Rattus norvegicus: one gene and its partners. The protein of the gene in region 2 interacts with the protein of the main gene of each other region in a biochemical or structural test. Links are inferred from orthologs where the notes say so. Each region holds a gene or a part of one and is shown on either strand. Other genes may lie near its edges. The genes, in order: Yod1, Usp21 and Isg15.

The links.
Region 1: the proteins of Usp21 (region 2) and Yod1 form a complex in vitro, tested with the Homo sapiens proteins (2 studies listed by BioGRID, with this or other methods). The link is inferred for Rattus norvegicus from reciprocal best matches to the Homo sapiens genes USP21 and YOD1.
Region 3: the proteins of Usp21 (region 2) and Isg15 form a complex in vitro, tested with the Homo sapiens proteins (2 studies listed by BioGRID, with this or other methods). The link is inferred for Rattus norvegicus from reciprocal best matches to the Homo sapiens genes USP21 and ISG15.

Annotation. Positions count from the first base shown.
Region 1 is NC_086031.1:44,725,308-44,730,439, reverse strand, and holds the start of Yod1 (ubiquitin thioesterase OTU1), read right to left. Parts: upstream 3,122-5,132; 5' UTR 2,976-3,121; coding exon 2,648-2,975; intron 1,842-2,647; coding exon 1,138-1,841; 3' UTR 1-1,137. UniProt on the Homo sapiens protein: Hydrolase that can remove conjugated ubiquitin from proteins and participates in endoplasmic reticulum-associated degradation (ERAD) for misfolded lumenal proteins.
Region 2 is NC_086031.1:86,234,298-86,238,754, reverse strand, and holds the end of Usp21 (ubiquitin carboxyl-terminal hydrolase 21), read left to right. Parts: intron 1-271; coding exon 272-392; intron 393-603; coding exon 604-715; intron 716-894; coding exon 895-1,050; intron 1,051-1,550; coding exon 1,551-1,615; intron 1,616-1,826; coding exon 1,827-1,930; intron 1,931-2,121; coding exon 2,122-2,208; intron 2,209-2,452; coding exon 2,453-2,531; exon of another isoform or gene 2,532-2,737; coding exon of another isoform or gene 2,738-2,744; coding exon 2,745-2,852; intron 2,853-2,938; coding exon 2,939-3,053; intron 3,054-3,266; coding exon 3,267-3,357; 3' UTR 3,358-3,628; downstream 3,629-4,457. UniProt on the Homo sapiens protein: Deubiquitinates histone H2A, a specific tag for epigenetic transcriptional repression, thereby acting as a coactivator.
Region 3 is NC_086023.1:172,065,500-172,069,355, reverse strand, and holds Isg15 (ubiquitin-like protein ISG15), read left to right. Parts: upstream 1-1,699; 5' UTR 1,700-1,837; coding exon 1,838-1,840; intron 1,841-2,465; coding exon 2,466-2,948; 3' UTR 2,949-2,987; downstream 2,988-3,856.

The DNA of each region.
Region 1 (5,132 bases), about 42 Mb from region 2:
AGGTAGCAGTACTCTGTATAAGAGAGCTGTATAAGGCAAGGATTTTAAAACTTTGTATGCATATTTTGGAAGTGAAACAAACCAAATAAATTATTTAAAACTGAAAGTCAAGGATCCCAGATGAACAAAGTACTATCTTGCAGAAATGTGAACTATCTAAGAGCTCATAGCTCATGTCATCTATGGAAACATTTTCAGGAAACCAAAGCATACCACTGACACTTTAGAGGAAGACTTGTTTGTTAAGAAGTGCTTTGAGCTAAACAGTTGAGGCAATAAAATCCCTCCAGAAAAATTTATATGTAAAAAAGCAAAAGAACTAAACTCTCAAGTTTTCAAGATACTTCTTGAATTTTAAGCTAAATTAGCAATTAAAAAGGCATACCCTGCATCATTTAAAAAAAATTATCTAATGTGACAAACACCAATACATGAATTGCATTAAAACACGAGGCCAACAGTCTTTTAAAGCTTCAGTAAGCTGCTTCAGGCACCTTTCCCCCTTTTATACATTCTACTTTTATACACTAGAAATCTCAACAGGACCATATTAACTCCTGTTTTAGATAACATTCGCAAGGGATATACTTATCCCTGTAAAATTGCTTTTTATGTACTTGTAAGTAGTTAGAGACACTTATAAAGTCTACCAAATTGCAATATAAAAAGTTTTGACAATTCTGAGTATCTTCATTTGATGAATCAATTCAGAATTTAGAAACAACTAACTCATTCAAATATTAAAAGAAATCAACTACTGGAGACACTGTGGTATATGTCCAGTGGTCCTCCACAAAGCTTTGCATATTACCTAAAATATGTTTTCTTTTATAAGCTAAAGCCGCAGGGTGCTGGTTTATAATACAATCCAGTCTTCGGGTTAGCATCAGAAGCGGCCAAAACCACCTATTCCAACACCCCGGTAGAAAGAGGGCATGCCACTAGTGTAGACACACATCTGTAAACTTGCACACTGATTTTAATCTTAACAAGGAATTTCAGTGTCAGTCATACTGGTTTAAGATAAAAGGATGGTCCAAGCATTGTGTTCTATTCTGTAGGGTTATGAATAGCTTATTGGAAAACCCAGAGCCTTCTGGATCTGTGAGGTAGTAGGCTCCAATTCTCCGGAACAGATCACACCTCTCCAAAGTTGGTATGGCCTGTCTCCCTGGCATGGTCCCTTGCTTCAGCTTGTCCGGTTAGGCCCTTCTGACACAGCATGCATCTCAGGGTGAAGCGGTTTACATCAGTGAACTGTCTCTTTCTTCTAGCTTCATCAGCTAATTCCAGTGCTTGTACGAGAACAATATCATCATTTGAGGAGAAAATGGTCAGAGGAGGGGTATCCGGATCAGGGAAGTTTCGCTGAAGCGGATCGTAGTGAATGCCATCGTAGATGAGTAGAACCCTTTTGGTATAGCCTGCATCTTCCCCAAAACGATCAATTCTGACTGTCTGTGTATCTACTACACATATTTCACATTGATAAAACTTGGACAGGATTGATATCTCAATTGCTCCCCCCCAAGTATCATCCCTTCTGATCCAATCACAGTACTCTTCGTTTGTCTTTCCCAGTATTGCCTCACTATACAAGTCTGGATCACTGGCTACAATTTGTGCTATGAGGCGTCTCATCTCAGGGGCACAAGCTGGATTCAAGACTCCTCCTTCAACTACATAGTACACACTGGTAAAGAGGCAAGAGTTGTCTGCTGGGACTGCGGTTCTGGTAAGCACAGGCAGAGTTTCCCTGACATAACTAGGAGCACCATGTTTTGAAAACGCAGGTGAAGCTTTTGGTCTGGTTTGGTCTTCTTCAACAATCAGCATGTCACCTGTTAAAAATAAAACAAATCCAGAACTGCAGAGAAATTATAGATTGGGTATTTATTAGCCAACTCAGTAAATTAGAAACCAAATGAGTTAAAGGTATACAGAGGGTTACCAAGGAGAACCCAACTTTGTAAACAAGAAGCCAGTTAGCTCTTTTAAGTTTGTCTGTGTTTGGTTCACTGTGTCTTCAGAAAGAGGAGAAGAGAACAAAATGCTCTGCGTTGCATTTAAACTTAACAAATCTTTCAGAGGTTCTCTACAGACTAGGTAGGTCACCAGGGTGTTTGTCCACTTAGCAGGACTATACCATTTGACAGCTCGAGGGGCCTTGACACAACATGCAAAGCTTTTAATGACCAACACTGATGTCCAAGTTCTAAAACTGGGAACAAATAACTGTTGTTGGTTAATTCTACAGTGAACTCATACGTCCAAGTGTACACGAAACAAACTCAAAACAAATTAACCGAGGGACGGACAACTAAGGCAAAAATCCGTATCTCAACTGCTGACCTGCTGATCAGGATAGGGAAAAAGAACCACCCTGTCAGGGGAAAGGATCCTGCTGTCCTCTGGGAAAGCAGAGAAAACGATTGACCTGGACGCAGGCTTGGGGAACAGGGAGCTTCAAGACTCCAGACTTGTCTCTAAAACACAGTTAAAAGGACTTGACACTTGCCCCGGCCTTCCTGGAGTTCTGGTCCTTCTCGAAGCCCCTAGCTGTCACACCAGCACTTTGCCTTACTGGCTTTACTCTTCTCCCCTCAATGTCCTCCAAGACTTCCCCGGCCCCGGCCGGTGCCCGTACCTGACTGGATGGGCAGGTCCCCGAGAGTGATGTCCCGGTCGCTGAGATCCAGGCACTCTGGTGGGTAGCCGACGAGGATTCGCTGACTGCCAGGAGCGATGCCGGTGATAGCGGCGATTTGGCCCTGCAGTTCCCGTAAGCGGGTCCGGTTGGAAAGACCCTGCAAAACGTGGGTGCCACCCTTGGCCTTGCAGCGGAGCCGCCACATAGTGTCGGCCGGCCGGCCTCCTGCGGGGCCAGCCTTGGTCCCAGCCGCAGCCTGGGAGACAGCGCCGGAACAACCAGCGGGGGGGACCCCAAAATGGCCGCCTTTCGCGCCTCCAAACATCGCGAGAAGTAGCCGCTGGGGCGCTTCTCGCGACACCTCGGTGGGGACTTGGCTTCGGCCCTTCCAAATACACTCCGGCTCTTAAAGTGATAAGGGCAGCCGTGGGTGAGGGCTGGAGGTTGGCCAGTTCTCCCGAGCGCTCCGGTGAGGCGCCCTTCGCGTCGGCAGCATTTATCCTCCAGGGAGGAGGGCGGGGAAGGAGTTCCCGAGTCTAGCAGAGCAGAATGTCACCTTGCAGGGAGGTCGGAAATGATGAAAGCAGCCACCCAAACACCAGGCAAAGCAGACTCATCCTTGAGAAGGTAAACAAATGCCAAGAAAGGTCAAAGGACCTGCCAAACAGTCACTCTGCTGACGAGTTCCTGGCTGCACCGAACTGATTCATTGAGGCCAAGTGGACGGGACGACCGGAGTCCCGTGAGACGAACTTGAAAGCGTCCATCTGCCACCTCAGAAAGACTGTATGAGGTCAGCAGCCCTGCCTGGGGCGATTGCCTCACTCGGGTGGTGGCAGTGTTCAAGAGGACTAACTCTTGTCATCCGGATTCCAGTTCGATTCCTCGGATCCAATTAGGAAGACACTCCATCATGCGATTGGAGTCCTCGTCGTGGCCCAGAGATAGAAGACGGACGGGGAAGGGGAGACCTAACCAGATAGCTAGGTCAGTTTCCAACTTTGTATGTCGAGAGCCCGAGACTGCCTTGAACATAATAAAAGGTGTGCAGTAAACGCCGAATAATGACAGTTTATAGCACGCCTTAACACGCTGGGGGTTGTAAAACGCATTCTTGGACTATGTGGAAGGTGACTTGACTCCCAGGTAAAGAAGGAATGAATAAAAGCAGCTCTAGGGTCTCCCCTGACCCCCCCATCATTTAGCTAAAGCAGCAAGTCCCCCTCCCCACTGTGGACTGTCATTCGCATCGGGTACCAAAGGCATGCTGGGGGCGTGGCTTTGAAAAGCAGTTCTGGGATACGTAAACCCCACTGCAACAACCTGTACTGGGAATCAATGGTAGCAAATCTGTTCCTCTCCACCCTTACACCAGGAGCGGGTGCAGCTCTCCTCCTTGGTTCTTCAAGATGACCCCAGATAATATAGCCTGGGTCCCGGGTTGTACGAGGAAATAAAGGAACGTGCTTTGGAGTCACCTGGAAGGTGAATGAGAAGCTCCCGGATCCGTAGGTTCCAGGATCCTGACCAGAAATTGGAGTTAGCTCTTGCATTCTGGTAGCCAGCCAGGCATCTTTAAAAGCCGACGTCTACCTTCCAGAACCTAGTCTAGCTGGAGATTCTGGGGTGAAGGCGTTAATCCTCGTTTTTTTTTCACCAGTCACTCCCACGCAAGATGTCAGCCAAACAGGTCTCGCGAGAATAAAAAAAAAAAAGTAAGGCTTTTAATTAACCCCGCCTTCAGCTCGATTTGTTTCCAAGCAACAATGCCACCAAGCTCTACTGGGTCCGCTGTTTTGGGAGCGGACAGCCTTAAGCTGTCACAGGTCCTCCCAGACCCCAGGAGCCCGCCCCCGGCCCTGCAGGTGCTTCATTGGTCCAGCGTGCCTCCAGGTGAGGACTGACGCGGGGTTGGGCGGGCCCGAGCGCCCCACGTGACCCCCCCCCCCCCCCCCAACCCCCGGAGCCCGGACTTCTTCAGTCTGCCTGCTCGCTCTGCTTCCCGGCGCTCCGGTGGCGACACCGGGTCTACAGCAGGGAGGACGAATAGGACAGGTCATAGGGTGAGCGATAATTGAGCAGTCTGTACGTGGGGCTGGGGTCCTGCGCGGGCGCGGTTAAGGTGCAGAGCGACGGTGCTTCGTGCTTTAGGGAAGGGTAGCTCCCGTGACACTCCTGGGCGTGCAGCCCTTCAGGGACGCTGAGCCGCAGCTGGTGTGTGGGGACTGAGAGAATTGGCTCTGTCGGGAGCCATGCACGCTTTCTCTCTCTCTCTCTCTCTCTCTCTCTCTCTCTCTCTCTCTCTCTCTCTCTCTCTCTCTCTCTCATCTTTTGTCTTGAGCTCCTTGCTATCAGGGTTTGAGAAGTGAGCCCCAGTCCCTCTCACCCTAGTTTTGCAGGTAACATTGAGTAAGTCATTTACTTCCGCTGTGCCCTAGGGTATGAATAGGCAAGAGCAGGGAGGCTAGAGAGCAGAGAACGT
Region 2 (4,457 bases):
CCCGTCCTCCGTAAAAGGAATGTGAGATGGTGTTGGGGGGTGGAAACAATGGCAGAGCTAGGGAAGGCATGCAGGCGAGAGCAGTGAAGCTCTTGGTCCTGCTGGGCACCCGTCTGGAAAGGTAATGGCAGGGGCTGGGGATTTAGCTCAGTGGTAGAGCGCTTACCTAGGAAGCACAAGGCCCTGGGTTCGGTCCCCAGCTCCGAAAAAAAGAACCAAAAAAAAAAAAAAAAAAAAAAAGGTAACGGCAGTGTTCCTACTGCTTCTGCAGTGCTTCCTGAACGCCGTGTTACAGTGTTTGAGCAGCACAAGGCCTCTTCGAGACTTTTGTCTGCGAAGGGACTTCCGGCAAGAGGTGCCCGGAGGAGGCCGAGCCCAGGAACTCACAGAAGGTGGGCAACAACTCCTGATGCTTCTGTTCTCCTTCCCCATCCCCTTCGGTTCTCTCCTCCCAATACCCATGGCTCCCAGCCCTTCAAGCTGACAGATTCATCCATTTCCCCCAGTTTCTTTCTTCCTAGAGATTTTCTAGCCACTGAATCTCTTCCTGCCTGCCCTTCCAGACATTAACTTTGAATCCCTTCCCCACTGTCAAACCAACAGCCTTTGCAGATGTGATTGGTGCCCTCTGGCACCCTGACTCCTGTGAAGCTGTGAATCCTACCCGATTCCGGGCTGTCTTCCAGAAATACGTCCCTTCCTTCTCTGGATACAGGTGGGAACTGAGTGAATAGGATTTCTCTCTGGCTGTGTCTGGGGTTGGGCCAAACAGAGGCTCTAGCAGCCATGTTCTGAGCCTTGAGGTTTCCTACAGAGGAAACAGGGACCCAGATTGGGCAGGGGATACTTGTGGACCACAAATAGATCACTTGTCCATATTCTGTCTGGCTATAGCCAGCAGGATGCCCAAGAGTTCCTGAAGCTCCTTATGGAGCGGTTGCACCTCGAAATCAACCGACGAGGCCGCCGGGCACCACCAATTCTGGCCAGTGGTCCAGTTCCCTCCCCACCTCGCCGAGGAGGGGCTCTGCATGAAGAACCTGAACTGAGGTAAGGTTTGTTCCCCTTTGTTCCTCTTTTCAGTAGTTCAGTCAGCATTCAGTCTTCACAGAGCTGAGCCAACCGAAACTGGACATGTAGGGCCCAGGGGAGACCCTTTAGCACAGGAAAAAAAAGGAAGGAAGGGAAAAAGGGGGAAGCTGAGAAGTACAGATATAGGCAAACAGAAAATAGTGTCAGGGATGCCATTAAACTGGGGAAAGAGAGGCTTCTACAATCAAATATATCAAAAGCTTGTAGAGGAAGATGACTCTATCTATCTATCTATCTATCTATCTATCTATCTATCTATCTATCTCCTTTTCCCTTTCATCTTGGATTTCCCTGGAAAGTTCCCAGAAGCATTTCTTACTCCTTTGACTAGAAATTTAGGGAAGGCGCTGGTATGTGAATAGGGAACAGGGTTCTGTGGGTAATTTCAGTGGTTTAGGGGTGCCCAGTATTAACACGGCTGTCTCACAATTTGTCCCCATCCCCTTAATCTGTGGTAGTGATGATGACCGAGCCAACTTAATGTGGAAGCGCTACCTGGAGCGAGAAGACAGCAAGATTGTGGGTATGCAGTGGCACACACTGGGAGTTTAGGCTTGGGAGGAGGAAGCATGGGGCCAGGCCAGATGCTGGGGCTGTGAAACGGTGTACAGCTGAGTGGCATGCTGTAGTTAGAAAGGCAGATCAGAGGCACCGGGAGAGGTGGGGTTCTAGGAAAGCACGTCAGGCCTCCATCCCATAGTGACTTTTTCTCCTGCCTTTGTGCTTCTGCCTAGACCTGTTTGTGGGCCAGCTGAAAAGTTGCCTCAAGTGCCAGGCCTGTGGGTATCGCTCCACGACCTTCGAGGTTTTTTGTGACCTGTCCCTGCCCATCCCCAAGGTGGGATTCCAGTAGATTCCAGGGGTGGATGGAACATGGGTTCTGTGACCCACCCCTCCCCACCCCTAAGTGTGGGTGGGAACTGTGTGGGTCTCTAAAGCAGAATTAAAGCCTGGATTTAAAAAAAGATTAAAAAAAAAAAAAAAAGGAAACTCAGAACATGCTGACCCTCACTTCCCCTTTCCCACTAGAAAGGATTTGCTGGGGGCAAAGTGTCTTTGCGGGATTGCTTCAGCCTTTTCACCAAGGAGGAGGAGCTAGAGTCGGAGAATGCCCCAGTATGTGGGACTTCAGCGGGAGGGTCTGCCTGGGTGAAAGGAGATGCATGCCTCCTTAACTTGGGAAGAACAGCTGTATGTCTGGGTGAATGTTGGGGCTCTCGGGTATGTCCTAGTGTGTGCCTAGGTTAAAGGGGGAGGGGCAAAGCAATGAGACACCTATTAAACTTATGTGTGAGTTGGGGTGTCAGAAAAAACCACCTAGGTGAGAACACTGATCTAACACTATTTGCTGTTTATGTAGGTATGTGACCGATGTCGGCAGAAAACACGAAGTACCAAAAAGTTGACAGTACAAAGATTCCCCCGAATCCTCGTGCTCCATATCCTACTTTTCAAGTTCTTATTTCTCTTAGGGTATCTCCCATACAGTGTTTCCTCACCTTCAGTGAGTTTCCCGTAGGGAAAACCTGCCACCCCAACTTTCTCTGCCACTTTTCAGGACGTGTTGGGGGAATGGAGGGTACCGAATCTATTTCCGCAGTCTCCCTTTTAGAGACCCTTAGCCTCCCCAATGCTCCTTAACCAGGGCTTAGATCTGAACCGATTTTCCACCTCCCGAGGCTCCATCAAGAAAAGTTCAGTAGGTGTAGACTTCCCACTGCAGCGACTAAGCCTAGGGGACTTTGCCAGCGACAAAGTGGGTGAGTCTGGCAGGGAACGTCCTAAGGAGTCTTCAGGAGGGAGACACAACTCCCAGTTGCAGAAACTGATGTTATCTAACCTGCAGGAAGCCCTGTCTACCAGCTGTATGCCCTTTGCAACCACTCGGGTAGTGTCCACTATGGCCACTACACAGCCCTGTGCCGGTGCCAGACTGGTTGGCATGTCTACAATGACTCCCGGTGAGAACAGCCTCTTATTCAACTCCTGCCCCACCCCACTGCAGCCCTGGCACCACCCCCTCCTGTGAGGTCTGAAAAGATAAGTTCCTGACCATGGATAGGTGGGGGGGGGAGGTCTCTCCTGATCGCCACCTGGCTACGCTACACTGCGTCTTTAGGACAGAGGGGGAATCTTCTGGAATGACCACAGCCATTTCCCATCTCTCTTCTCAGTGTCTCCCCTGTCAGTGAAAACCAGGTGGCATCCAGTGAGGGCTACGTGCTGTTCTACCAATTGATGCAGGAACCACCTCGGTGCCTGTGACGCCATCTTGAAGCCCTGGCACCTGTGAAAACCTTCTCAACACCCTTAAGCCCCCAGGCTCCCCACTTACCTCACAGACGTCTATTTTTGTGTCTTTTTAATCGGGGAGGGGAGGAGGGTTGGTTGTAGCTCCCGTTATTTTTTTTATTAAGAAGTACCCTTCCACCTTGTTTTCCTGTCCCATGTACAGAAATTACCAGGCCCTTGACCATGTACAGCCCCCAGAACCTCTGCAATCTCACTTTTTTGTGAATAAATTTATTAAGAAAAAGTAAATGTAGGAAGCGCAAGGCCCTGGGTTCGGTCCCCAGCTCCGGAAAAAAAAAAAAAAGAACCAAAAAAAAAAAAAAAAAAAAAAAAAAAAAGAAAAAGTAAATGTTCATGTTTGTATTTGTGGGTAGAGGGAATGGATATCTAGAACTTTGGTTCTGTTGGAGCCTTTCTGGGACCCAATTCTGTCTCTGAACAGGTGGGGGCGCTCTCACAACAGAAGGAAAAGAACAGGGATTGAGCTGGCTCCAGACTTGGACCCAAACACTGACAGTTTAGTGGTACTAGGAAGACAAACCTTGAGACCTGTGAAGTTGCGGGAAAGCCTGGAACTAGAGTGCAGGCATTGGCATACCAGGTTTTGCCTGTGAAGGGGACTGCCCCTAGGGGGCAAAGCACCCAAGAACCCCTGTTGACAAACATGATTTCGTTGCTGGGCGGCCCTTGCTCCCGTAGGCCCTGTCTGTTGCTAACATCAAGGAGCTGTTTATGGAGCCTTCTCCCCACGGACTGGCCTCCAAGTGTCTCTCTCTTTCTCCCTAACTAAAGCTCGTGGGGCCCTCCCAACCTCCAGGGTTCTCACCACAGATCTGGGAAGCTTGAGCAGGGGAATGCTAACTCCCGGATTCAGCATTTCGCTGTCCTGTCCCTGGGGAAGGCAGTACTGGTTACTGCAACTAAATCCGACTAGGGAACGAACAGGTTAACCTGCACAGAACTGACTCTGAAAGCCGCTGTAGTTCCGCTGGTAGCGTCACTGCCAACATGGTGTTTTCATTGGTGGATGTATCCAGAGCCCACCAATCCAGAACCCGCTTCCTAGGACCCAC
Region 3 (3,856 bases), on a different chromosome or scaffold from region 2:
ACAGAAAGAGGCTAGCTTGTTGGGTTAGAGAAAATGGCACTGTTTGTTTGTTTGTTTGTTTGTTTGTTTTTGAGACAAGGTTTCTCTGTGTAACCCTGGCTGTCCTGGAACTCACTCTGTAGACTAGGCTGGCCTTGGACTCACAAAGATCTGCCTGCCTCTGCGTCCCAAGTGCTGGAACTAAGGGAGTGAACCATCACCTTCAGCTTGAAAATGCCACTTCCACTGAGTAGTTTCAAAGTCTTCACAACTGATTTTTCGGAGAGATGGATGTTTTCAAGAGGCCAGGTACGGCACTCCCAGAGTATTCTAGAAATGTAGTATTCCAACACCCCAGATACACATACCCATGCCTTCTATACAAGAGTCAGTCCCTGTCTTGGGGTTGACAAGAAGGCTGGGCTGTAATTTTCGCAGCTATGGACCTATGTTGAGCCATATGAAGGAGTCTGTGTGGAATCCCCTGAACCTCTGCCTCCTGCAGACATCAGACAAGCAGGGGACATAGAGGGAAGAAACCTCAAGAACCACATCCCCTCTATGATTGCCATACTAATGATTAAGGTTTAACTTGTGAAATGGGCTGTCTTTGTTATACAGGCATTGGAAAGAAAGAAAAGATCCTACTTCTTTAATTTTCTTTTAAATATTGGGCTGGAGTGATGTCTATGTGGAAAGTGATTGAAGAAAACACTCGACATTAATCTCTGACCTCTACATGTACAAGAACCTATATGCAAAATAGATAAACAAAATTTATATACCCAGTTCCTTCTAAATTTCAAGGGCACCTGCACTCACATATACACAACGCCCCCCTAATACCTTATATCAACATAATTAAAACTAAACCTTAAGAAAAACCTGGGTGCTAAGTATATAACTCAATTGTTAGAACACTTACTTAGCATTCACGAAGCTCTGGGTTCTATCCCCAGCACTGCCGAAAATGACTAAAATCTCAGAACCTAAGCAGAAGAGACAGAAGGACCAGTTTAAGGCCAATTTCAAAGTGAGTTTGAAGTCAGCATAGACTACATAGCAAGACTACTTCAAAAAACAAACTCATCTGACTCAATGTATCTTTACGTAAGCAATAGTGTTTGTTTGTTTGTTTGTTTCTTCTCTTAGCTTTTCAAGACAGAGTCCTGGTGCTTGCTCTGTAGAGCAGGCTGGCCCTGAACTCAGACATCCACCTGCCTCTGCCTCCCCGAGGCTAAGATTAAAGGTATGCATCACTGCCCAGCTACAATAAGGTCTTAATAAACTATTACAGGATAGAAATGCTTCCTACAACCCCCCCTACCCCAACTCCCTATGCTTTGAAAACTATTGTTCTAAACTAATAACCAATATCTTTGGGTAATTCTGATTGTTACTATGTTATGTAGTTTCTTTATTATTATAACATTTTTCCAAGATAACTAATTTCCAAGCTAACAAATGGCAAATACGTTTTCTACTATTAGTTCCTGTTCTGACTTTTACATGCCTTACGCAGGACCTGAAGTGCTGGGAGTTTAGGGAGTTTTAGGGCACACGTCAAATTACAGACTTGACCCTTAAGAGCCTGTCTCTTTTCTTCCCAACTACACTTTTCTTTTCATTCAGTTTTGCTTTTCTCATCCATTTAAGGTGTGCCTCAGGAAAAGGAAACCGAAACAGAAACAGCTCTGGAGCCCAGAGACTCCGCCTCTTCACATCCACAGCTCAGACTTTAAGAGAGCTGACCCAGTGAGTCTCTCTCTGACTGTGAGAGCCAGCAGCCAGAAGCTGAGAGAAGCAGAGAGAAGCAGACTCCTTAGTTTCAGGGGACCTAGTGCTAAAGCCTACAGCCATGGTGAGTCCAATTTGGGGCAGAGGCAGATGGGCTTCATTCTAGTTGACTTTATTCTATTCCTCGATAGGGTCTTTCAGAGGCAGAATAGCCTCAGTGTGGGGACAGAATAAAGTTGCTCAAAGCTCACTTGGGGGCTGGGGGTGGAGTTGGGTTCTTTGCTCAGTTATCAGCCCTAGATCCCTTAGGGCTGGACCCAGAAGGATATCTTTGTGGGTGAACTGAAACAATCTGATGGTTGTGGGAGGCTGACCCTTTAAAACTGAGGCCTCTGTATCATACAATACTGGATGGTCCTCCCTGAGGAGAAGATGGATGTGGGACATGGGGGCTGGCCCTACGACCAGTGCTTTGCATGTGGTAACTCCCAGCCAAAGTTATTAAGCCAGTGGTTCTCAACCCATGGGTCATGAACACTTTGGGGGCCTGAACGACCTTCTCACAGGAGGTCCTTCTCGCAGATATCCTGCATACGGCAAGATCACAGTTACAAAATAGCAATGAAAATAATTTTATGGTTGGGGGTCACCACAACTCAAGGAACTGTATTAAAGAACAGAAGCATTCTATTAGAGTCGCAGCATTAGGAAGGTTGAGAACCACTACTAAATCCATGTAATTCTTGCAGACCTGGAACCTAAAGGTGAAGATGCTGGGGGGCAAGGAGTTCCTGGTGTCCATGACAAACTCCATGATGCTGTCAGAACTGAAGAAGCAGGTTGCTCAGAAGAGTGGTGTGCCAGCTTTCCAGCAGCGCCTGGCCCACCAAAGCGGTGAAATGCTACAGGATGGTGTTGCCCTTATCAGGCAGGGCCTTAGTTCTGGCAGCACAGTCATGCTGATGGTAGAGAACTGCAGCCATCCTCTGAGCATCCTGGTGAGGAATGAAAGGGGCCGCAGCAATGTCTATGAGGTCCAGCTGACACAGACTGTGGAAGTGCTTATGAGGCAGGTGTCCCAGCACGAGCAAGTCTCCCAAGACCAATTCTGGCTGAGCTTCAACGGAAGGCCCATGGAGGACAAAGAGCCACTGGGGGAGTATGGCCTAACACCCCACTGCACAGTGATCATGAATTTGCGCCTGAGGGGGGGAGGGGACTACTATTTCTAAGGCCCCTATCCAGAGCCAATGTAGGTAATAAAAGACAATACAATAAAAAGTTCTGCTTTCTGTTTGCTTGTCCCATTCAGAAATGCCTTCTTTCCATGGTGACAAGGCTCTGGGTTGCCAAGTTAAAAGACAAGGATTTCACAGTTAGAGCCTAGTGAGGACCCTTTGGGTGATTAATTCACTTCTGGAGAAAGATACTTTTACTGGGACCCAGTCCTGAGCCTCTGCCAGCATCTAAAAACTTCCCCAAGTCTACATGTGGCTCAGGGACACATCAGGTCAGTTCCTACCAGTAACAGGATGAGACTTCTAATAGGACCAGTTAACTGCTCAGATCCTTTGGAAACAGTGAAGGAATGTTCTTGGACCTATCTGGGTAAGCTGTGAAGGAGGCTGATATGGGTGTTCCCAGTCCCAGTTGCAGTAGACCACAGAGGGAAGGACAGGGTCTCACTACTCAAATCAGTCACCTGCTGTTTAGGACATGGTGGTTAGCAAGTCCACCTCATCAGGGCTATAAAGAGGCTACCTTAGGCAGATTAGATGGGCACCTGGGATTGGGGGCTCATCTGTCCACAAAGGAAATCAGATCTCAGAAAGGAGGTACCCAATTTGAAAAAGCTTCACCCCCTTCCTGCCTGATGGTTCTTTATCTTGTCTTTTCCTCTATCACAAGCCTTTGAGTCGGCTTAAGACACAAACAAGTCAGGGCAAGTACCTCTATGGCCCTTCAGACTTTTAAGAGAATTTGAACGGGGCTGGGAGATGGCTCAGTGGTCAAGAGCACTGACTTGCTCTTCCAGAGGTCCTGAGTTCAAATCCCAGCAACCAAATGGTGGCTCACAACCATCTGTAATAGGATCTGATGCCCTCTTCTGGTGTGTCTGAAGACAGCTACAGTGTACTCA